Linked DNA regions of Mus musculus: all the other regions are reported to be linked to region 1. Evidence: microRNA targets listed by miRTarBase, many of them from high-throughput screens and not tested one by one. Region 1 holds a microRNA gene; each other region holds the end of a gene's coding sequence.
What was found. Region 1 holds the annotated microRNA mmu-miR-544-5p (UCUUGUUAAAAAGCAGAGUCU, at 1,067-1,087, opposite strand). A microRNA usually pairs through its seed, bases 2 to 8, with sites in the 3' UTR of a target mRNA and lowers its output. Matches are read on the target gene's strand: a 7mer-m8 pairs with bases 2 to 8, a 7mer-A1 pairs with bases 2 to 7 and ends in A, and an 8mer does both.

Region 1 (3,347 bases):
AGGACCAAGCTTCCTCGGGGTTGGTCTTCTCCATCAGGAATATCCAAGGAGCATCTCGAAGGAGCTGCAGGGCTCATCCAAGGCTCACACAAGGCAGGCAGTCTCATATCGCTTGTGCAGGGGGCCCTTCAAAAAAGCAGAGTTTGATAGTCAAAAGGAAGCTAACTGTGTCTCGTTCACAATAAGCAAACAGAACATGAATGACCTCAAATATTCTCAGAGATCTCTGACAGGAAAACCGGGGCCTCTTGTCTACTGTCCTCTCTCCTTCCAGAAGATTCTTCCAATGACAAATTGAATTCCTAGACTCTGAGAGGTGAATTCCCATAGTCTGTAAGAAAGCACATGAGCTGACAGCAACCACTCACTGCTACACATTGGTCCTAGGGCTAAAATCTGGTCTGACGGAAAAACTCATTCCCACAAGAGCTTCCTAAGGCAGGTCAATTTAGAAACAAAATGGAAGTCTATCTGGTCCTCCCTGAGAGGTAAGCTGGATGGCAAGAAGCCAGCAGCTGGCCGAATATCATGGAAGGGCAATGGCACCATGGGCATTACCTCTCTCGATAACGTCGAGGGTTGCTGGTAGATACGACAGATAGGACTCCTCCTTCCCCAGAAGCTGTGGTTCCAGAACTGTGCTCCTTACAATTGACTGGAAATGGAGAGTTACAGAGTCAGATGGTCTCAGTCACCAATAACCTGGTGCTGACAAGTCCTGCTGTTGGCTGACATAGGCAGCCCCTCCTTGAAGTAGCTCTTATATCTGGGAAGCCCATAGAGGCATGCTTTGATTTGAAAGAATAATCAATAATCAATAATGGTGTTTGTACAGCAGGTGGCCTTTCACAACTGACCACAGTTTGATCATCAAAAGGTAGCATATTGGCTCAATGCTCACTCATGATGGATAATGCGGGGTGGATGGAGGAGATGGAGCACACACACTACAAGGAACATGCAACATCACCTCCAGCCCCCAGTGGCTACATGTGTTGTCCACGGACCGGCAGCATTAGCATCACTTGAGAGCTTGCTAAAAATGCAGAATCTTGGCCCCTCAATCAGACTCTGCTTTTTAACAAGATCCCTAGGTGACGAATATCTTAGCAGCGTTGAGCAGTTTGAGAGGCCCTACACTAACCAACAATTTGTACAAGCATGCATGCAGGCACACACACACACACACACACACACACACACACACACACACACACACCAGATTATGGAATGAGCTGAAATGGTATGCTATTGACCAGGTATGTCTAAGAAAAAGTCAGCCCAAAGGAAGCCATAGGAACAGATAGAGAGTGACTTAAGGCAGCGGCGGCGGCAGGAAGTATCCTTATTAACACCTGTATTAACCACAGGAAGTCTATGCTCAGAATGGATGCTGAGGAGAGTGGGTGCTGGACCTAGAAGACCCTGGCCAAGTTCTGTCTACCTAAAGAGATGCTTGACCCAGTACCTTCTCAAGGAGTTCCTCTGAACTAAGACTTAACAGCAACAACAGACAGGTGAGTTATTCTCAGTGTTCTCCAGACCAAGCACAAAGAAGCAAGCCACCAAAGCTGTTGCCACCTCAAAGCTGTCACTGTGAGAGTACATGGGGGGGGGGGTGCCTTCTGAGGTTACTCTGCCTCAATAAATTCTCCCTCTCCTGCAGCAGGTACCAATGTCCATTAGCTGAAGTCACCACTGTGCTCTAGGACCTTCGGAAGCAAATCCAGATATGGGGCAAACAATGGTCGTCCCAATTAATCTCCATAAATATGGCGAGCACACTATTGATAGCCACCCTGCAAATGTCAGAGAACCACCGCACCGAGAAAAACCGCAGGACCTCCTCTCACGATCCAGACCAGACAGCTCGCCGGCCTCTGTCATTCAAGCACATGCTTGTGGAACCAGTCACACTCTTGAGCAAGGGGCCGGGGCCTGACCCCAGTGACTATCTGTGAGATTGGCTGCCCATCCAAAAAAAAAAAGAACGATTTGCCAAGTCATGAAAACTGTGCTATCTCACCATGACCAAGCCACGTAGGAACCCCTGGACTCTTCAAGCAAGATCCTGACTTGGGATCAGAGTGTAGCTCTTACACATCAGTTCTGTGCTCTCTTGCCTTGTGCCCAGGTAAGGCTAACCCATGCATCATGCACCAGGCACCTCTTTAAACAACCGTCTCGTCATCCCGGAAGTCCACCAGGGCAGTATTTGATACTCAAAAAGAAATTATCCTTGTATGATTCATCCAAAAGAGCCAACACACCAAGGATAATTTCTCCTCAAGTATGAAACAGTAGCACAGCAGGAATACCAGCATCCATAGGCCTCTTGGGAGTGATCACCACTCCTCACACGTGGCTGCACCCAATACATACATGCACCATGCATGCAGTACTACTGATGGCCATTCTAAGCACCAGGGAGGTGAGAGGCTATAGAAATGACTCCCCAGGACTCAGCATGACAACCTCACGTTAGCCTCTTCTAAGGGTAATGGTGGCTGGGGTCAAGAAGCCAGGCAGTGTCCATCTTAAGTGGAGCAAGCATTGTGGGTGGCCCTGCTGACCCCCGGCATGGGGTCTTCTGTTCTAGAAGCTGCTACAGAAATGATGTCACTGCCGAGTCACAAGCACCACCTTGTAAGTCCAGCACAAACTCTAAGCTCCAACACCCACTCACATGACTGACAGAGAATGTCTGTCTCAACATGGGCTCCCAAATCCAAGGAGAGGTTTGTATATCACCATCATAGCTGCCAGCAGTCAGCTCCCAGCAGACAAAAGTTTGGGCTGGCACATGGTCAATAATGAGCCTAGTCCCTACAAGAGCCTGATCTCTCCCAGCCCCCGAGAGCCATATGCATTGGACCCCAAGAGGACTCGCGAGTGACACACGAGACAAGGAGCATAACACGGCGACACCCTTGTCCAAGGATGTGTGATGGGAAGTGGCAGTGGCAGGATCCAGGCGCAGGAAGCCAGGCTGCAGAGTCTGCGCACTTGATACTGAAAAAGTGGATGACCCTGTACGATTCGGCATGAGTGAAGCGAAGAGGACAGGGATAACCACTCTCCAAGTACCAAAGCTCGGCCTGGAAAGCAAAGCCACCGCCTCAGGTAGACGTGCTACGTCTTCCAGGTAGGGTCCTGGGGACGAATTAGACGCTGAGCGTTAGCAGACTGGGTCACACACACCAAGCAAGAACATGCACACTTGGGTACCACGGCACGGCAGCACATCAAAAAACAACGGCCCACACCAGCACAGACCTGACCATCAGCCTGGGAAAGCAGGGACCCAGGCTACACACAGAGAGCATGCTTTGGGACCAACCCATATG
Region 2 (3,322 bases), not on the chromosome of region 1:
GGGCATAGAGCCCCAAGGATCGGCCTGTCTTCCTTTCGTTAACACTGATCACATACATATGCATGCCACCCTGCCATGCTTTTTCTGCATGGATGCTGGGCCTCTGAACTCAGGTCCACAAGCTTTGGCAAGCCTTTTACCAACCAGGCCTGAGCTTTGCCTACAAGCTTCATCTCCCTAGCCCTAGACAAGGTTTCTGTCTCGACCTTCCTTCTCTGATAAAGGCCCCAAGGTCGGGGTCTCTGTTGGTTTTTCCCACCTGCCTTGTTAGTATGAACATCACCATCCTTCTCTTCTCTTCCCAGGAAAGTATGTGATGGTGATGGGGGTGGTTCAGGCCTGCAGTCCTGAGCCCTGCCTGCAGGCCGTGAAGATGACGGATCTTTCTGACAATCCTGTCCACGAAAGCATGTGGGAACTGGAGGTGGAAGATTTACACAGGAATATTCCTTAGCGCTGGGACCCTCTAAGAACAGTTTACCCCCATATGGGTCTCAGGAACATCACAAAAGTTTCTTGAAGAGATTCGCTTTGGTTGAGCCAGCCGTCTGGACCCTGGGAACTGGATCCTCGGTTGTCTAAGCCACTCCTCCCTGCCTTCCTGCTGCTGCTGCAAAGCATATGCCCCCCCCCCCCCCCGTCACTTACGTGTGTGTGTGTGTGTGTGTGTGTGTGTGTGTGTGTGTGTGTGTGCGCGTGCGCGCGCGCGAAAGTGTGCCTTTCTCTTGCTGAAGCTCGTGGAAAGCTCATGTTGTCATTTCCTGGTTCTTCGAATGATAACACTTTCTCCTTGACCATACCTCTGAATTTCAGTTTGTTGCCAATGGATTAAAATTACAGATGTGAGGACAGAATGGCATAGTGGCCTGCCTCCCATCACCAGCTATTGCCAACTTGTAGGGACAGGTACCAGCCCCTTGCTGACAGCTTGCTCTCATATGCATTGTGCTCATACTGAAGCTGAGGCCAGCTGTTGAGAATGGTGGGAATTCTCACAATTCTCTGTTGAACTTAAAAATCCAAGATGGAGACAGACTTTTCAAGCACTTCTGCTTCAAAACTGTTGTGGAGAGACATCCAAGGTGGAACAGCCTGTAGGCTTAGAGTCCTGGCCTCCTTTCTGTATGAAACGCCTTTCTGTTGGGGTTGTATCAGTGTTGGGTTTGGCTTTCTGCTGACAACCCAGGCTAGATTCCTATTTGGATGGCAAAGACCCAGCAGGCCATCTTATGTTACAGTCTTGCTGTAGGACTCTTCCTAGTAACACTTTTTTTGTTTTGTTTTTTGTTGTTTTTCGAGACAGGGTTTCTCTGTATAGCCCTGGCTGTCCTGGAATTCACTTTTTAGACCAGGCTGGCCTCGAACTCAGAAATCCGCCTGCCTCTGCCTCCCCAGTGCTGGGATTAAAGGCGTGCGCCACCACACCCGGCCCTAGTAACATTTTTTGTGTGGTGTAGTTTTTAAAAGTAAGCCCTACTATCTGTTTGTCTTAAAGACAGGGTCTTATATAGCTCAGGTAGTCTCCAGCTCATGACTCTCTTCCCTCCCCTCCAGCCCGTTGAGATTACGGGTGTGCACTACTGTGTCTGCAGTGCTGGGGATGGAACCCAGGGCTTCCTGCAAGCTAAGCAAACACTGTATTACTGAGCCACATTTCCAGCCTAAAATGTTGATTTATTAAAACAGTTTTAGGTTTTTGGAAAGAATGAACAGAAAGTGTTTCCATAAGCACACTGAAGCTGAGGCTGTGTATGTGTTAAGCAAACACATGAGCTAGAGCCCCAGCTCTTGTGTCTTCAAGGCTAGCCAGATGTGGCAGGCCTCCTGCTGCAGCCTCCAGAGTGTGGCCCACACCCCACACTCGGCCCCCACACCCAGCCTCACCTGGATTGCCATGAGCATCAGGTGGTACTTGTCACCAGAAAAGCTAAGGAGTCACCTGGCAGGAGATGGACATCGAGGGACAAGAGAGGATGAGGACTCAGGTGATCTAGACCTGCCTCCTTCCTGCCCTCCACCCCCTAGAAAAAGCATCGAGGCCTTGAGCCCAGTTTGTAGCTCAGGCCAACCTCAGATTTCCCATCTTCCTGCCTCTGGTTAACTGGGATTGCAGGCCTGCTCCTCCAGCCTGCTTACATGGACGCCTTAAAAAAAAGATTTTATCTTTAGTTATGTGTTCGTGGGGTGCTTTGGAGCCCAAGAGAGAGTGTTGATAAATAAACTTTACCAGCCCCATGCCAGGTAGCTCACAGCTTCAGTAACTCCCTGTAGTTCCTAGGCATCTGACGCCGCCTTCTGGCCCCTGGAAAACCCTCACAACCTAGCATATAGACTTCAAATAAATACTTAAAAAAAAATAAGTCCTAAAAAATAAAGAGAGCCAGGTGGTGGTAGCGCACGCCTTTAATCCCAGGGAGGCAGAAGCAGGCGGATTTCTGAGTTCGAGGCCAGCCTGGTCTACAAAGTGAGTTCCAGGACAGCCAGGGCTACACAGAGAAACCCTGTCTCGAAAAACAAATAAATAAATAAATAAATAAATAGGGTTTAAGAATAGTAGTAATGAGGGCTGGTGAGATGGCTCAGTGGGTAAGAGTACCCGACTGCTCTTCCAAAGGTCCGGAGTTCAAATCCCAGCAACCACATGGTGGCTCACAAACCATCTGTAACAAGATCTGACGCCCTCTTCTGGTGTGTCTGAAGACAGCTACAGTGTACTTACATATAATAAATAAATCTTAAAAAAAAAAAAAAAAAAACAGTAGTAATGAATGGCACTGGGGTTGGACCACGGGGTCCCCAGGGTCTCACACACGCCAGAGTAGCACTCGACCAGCTAGCCTCCTCTGACCTTTAAACTGATGGATGTCTGTTGTGCTGGGAGGATGGTGCCCTACAATCCCACGTAAAGACTACCAGCTGATTCATCTTTCTGCATGACTGCCTTCCTGCCAGCCAGCCAGCCAGCCAGCCAGCCAGCCAGCAGTAGTCAGTCTCTCTGGCCTTCCCTTCTTCCTTCCCTCCCCTCCTCACCCTGCCTTCCCCACCCTACCTTTTTAGGCAGTGTCTCTAGTTCAGACTGGCCTTGAACTTGGGCTTTCCTGGAACTCATTATGTAGAGCAGATGAGTTTCTGCCTCCTGAGTGCTGTGTTAAAGGTGCTAACATTTTCTTTTAAAGGAAGGCCAAGTTGAAAAGTGATCTGTGTTTGACTGCTGAACCATTCATTTTTTAGGTCTATTTTTATTTGTGTGTGTGTGAGTCTAAAAGAGGACCTTGGAATCTTGAGCTGGGGTTACAGCAGGTCTGAGCATCCCTGTGTGGGT
Region 3 (3,000 bases), not on the chromosome of region 1:
TAAACAGTGGGACGTAATATCCTTGGCTTTGGTTGTTAGGTTTTGAGAAGAGACTGGCCCTTGCCTGGGAGAACTCAGTCAAACAGGGTTGGCCAGTCCTCTCTGTAACAGGAAGCATTTCTTTTCTCTTGCAGGTATTCTACTTCCTGTTGAGTGCCCTCGGCCTGATGGTCTGCATGCTGGCTGTGGCCTTTGCCGCCCACCACTACTCCCTGCTTGCGCAGTTTACCTGCGAGACCTCCCTGGATTCTTGCCAGTGCAAGCTGCCTTCCTCGGAGCCGCTCAGCAGGGCCTTTGTTTACAGGGATGTGACTGACTGTACCAGCGTCACTGGCACTTTCAAATTGTTCTTAATCATCCAGATGGTCCTAAACCTGGTCTGTGGCCTCGTGTGCTTGCTGGCTTGCTTTGTGATGTGGAAACACAGGTACCAGGTCTTTTATGTGGGTGTTGGGCTGCGCTCCCTGATGGCTTCTGATGGCCAGCTACCAAAGGCCTAACAGGTTGGCTCAGAGGGAGACAAGCTCAGAAACGGCACACCCACTGACTAGGCAAGGTGAAAAAAACCACAATTTTGTAAAGGCAAACTTTTGACAACGAATACTTTTTCATTCTCTAAATGTGTATTTTTAGATTTTTTTTTCAGAAAACAAAACAACTTGTTTTTTGGATCTCTATTGTACTTTTTAAAAACTTCTTGTGAGGACAGGGGTGGAGAGACGGCTTACAAGTGAAGAGGACTTGCTGCTCTTGCGGAGGACTCGGGTTCAAGCTCAGTTCCGGAGCCCAAGTTCAGTGGCTCACAGTTACCTGTACCTCCAGCTCCGGGGACATTGGGAGCACACGCATGCGCACACGCGTGATTTAGAGAATCTAACCTATTTTTAAAGTTCTAATGAGAAACAAGATTCAAATTGACTTGGTGAACACCGAAAGGAAAAGAACACCAGACAGGGAAGAGATGACCTAGAGCCAGCGCTAGCTCTGGTGTTTATCCCAGCCGCCCTTACATCCTCACCCTCCTCCGCCTTCCCGTTAGTCCAGTGCGATGGTGTGAACTGGCATCACCCATAGACTCTAGAGTCTTCCGGCTCCTCTACCACCTGCCATTATCCCCGTGGTGTCTTGGGAAAGGTCTAAGGAAAGCTGGATCTCAGTTGAGTGCTTTTATGTTTTCACAGTGGAGATGTCTTCAAGGCATGAAATGGCTTTAAAAAAAAAAAACTAGTTGAACAGGAAGGCTGAGTGATTCTGAACACCTGGGCTGGGGTGCAGACTTCCGGTTGCCTTAGCTCCGATCCACGAGTGGGCTGCAGCCTCCGTGAGGTCTGATTCACCATAATTGAAAGGTGGTGCTGTTGCATTCTTAACGACGAGGAAAGTTTAAAAATAATTATATTATGCCTCTAGTCTGTCATCTAAAACAAATCATTAAGACTAATTTCCAGCTAATTGTTCATTATAATTATGCTCAGGATTCTGTTTAATGAGCTCTGGCTGTTCTTAGGCAGCACCGTTGGTGTTAGGAAAAATTACAGCCACAAGGGAAGATGGCTGAAGATCCACTTTCCTGGAAATCATCCACTGCAAAAAATGATCTTGTAAAACATTGAAACACTCTCAGAGGGGAAACAACCAAGAGCATTTGTCACAGGAAATGCTTATATTAACAACACATTTGTGATATTGAAAAGTATCTCCCAGGACCACCAAGTACCTTTGATGGGATTGGGTACTAAGTCCTGTCATACACATGGACTTCCTGGGAAATCCTAGTAATGAGGGCTTTTACAATTGACCTAGAGACAGAATGTCTCAAAGCCCTTGTTTGGGTGATACGTCCACAGTTAGGGTATTCAGTCTCAGTTTAGAGTTAAGACATGGTACTTGGTTAAGACAGACTTTGCTATGTAATTGGGTAAAATTCCACCAAAAGGAATGGGGTGGTGGTGGCACATGTCTTTAATTCCGGCACTTGGGAAGTAGAGGCAGGTGTATTTCTGTGAGTTGAAGGCTAGCCTGGTCTACAAAGAAAGTTCTAGGACAGCCAGAGCAGAGAGAGAAACCCTGTCTTGAAAAAAACAAAACTTAACAAACAAAAACAAGAAAAAAAAAGGGGGGGGGACTGCTTTCAGACAAAATTGCATGAATGCCACAGTAAGCTTCCTGGTACTAACCTGGGAAACCTTTAGTGTTTGTTAAGAATAACCAGCTCCGGGCTGTGGAGATGGCTCAGTTATCAAAGTCCTTGCCATCCCAGTAAGAACCTGATCCCATGTAAAACAGCCAGGCACAGGTGTGTGCTTGTGATCCTGGCATTGCAGAGGCAGAGACAGGCAGATCCCTGGGGCTCCTTCACCAGCCATCTTTAGTGTAGTGATTAACTTCAGGTCCATGATGAGAGAGTTTGTCTCAAGAAAAAAACCAACACTAAAAATAACCCGGAGTGGATAGCTGGCCCCTGGCCTTCCCATGAATGCACACACACAGTTAAGAGTAACCAATCTCACGCTGACTTTCGATAGTTTTCTATAAAACATGGTACATGGTAGAGAATCCAGGATGTCACGGGCTGTCCTTTCAAAGTGACGCTGTTTTCACGCCTGTTACTGTGCACCCAGCCCTGCTGGAAGCACACACAGAATGCCTTTGTCCAACAAACTCAACAGGTTTTTGTTTTTGTTTTTTAAATGAGGAAATTAAGATTCCCCCACACAGTTAAGTTGCTCTAAGCTTTACAAACGTATGCTTTACAAACAACTCACGGGGGGGGGGGGCATTTTAAAGGGTAGAGCAATTTTAGCCTGTGGGTTTCTTACTTTTCTAACACAACCAAGGCTTGGGGTGGTTCCAGCTTATAATATTCTGTCTGCATAAGATGGGGATTTTACTATTATGATCAAATTATTAACTTCCCAAAGAGGAGGAGGCACTGTAAGTGAAGAGAAGGAGCAGAGCCGGGTGGCAGGACCCTGTGCTGGGAGCTTACGATATGCTGGT

Region 2: the mRNA of Rmi2 is a reported target of mmu-miR-544-5p. Seed matches in the 3' UTR shown: 8mer at 2,664-2,671.
Region 3: miRTarBase lists Sspn as a target of mmu-miR-544-5p. Seed matches in the 3' UTR shown: 7mer-A1 at 902-908 and 7mer-A1 at 2,101-2,107.

Annotation. Positions count from the first base shown.
Region 1 is chr12:109,727,075-109,730,421 of GRCm38, reverse strand. Mir544 (microRNA 544) reads right to left here and starts at 1,097; the gene lies at 1,020-1,097. It overlaps Mir487b (microRNA 487b), which reads right to left and starts at 3,089; the gene lies at 3,008-3,089. It overlaps Mir539 (microRNA 539), which reads right to left and starts at 2,293; the gene lies at 2,220-2,293.
Region 2 is chr16:10,839,524-10,842,845 of GRCm38, forward strand. Rmi2 (RecQ mediated genome instability 2) reads left to right here. Exons shown (of 2, transcript NM_001162932.1): 2 at 306-3,322. The coding sequence ends at 454. Among named protein-coding and RNA genes, the nearest start is that of Rmi2, 6.1 kb to the left of the region's middle.
Region 3 is chr6:145,960,996-145,963,995 of GRCm38, forward strand. It overlaps Sspn (sarcospan), which reads left to right. Exons shown (of 3, transcript NM_010656.3): 3 at 135-3,000. The coding sequence ends at 500. Among named protein-coding and RNA genes, the nearest start is that of Gm32838, 6.4 kb to the right of the region's middle.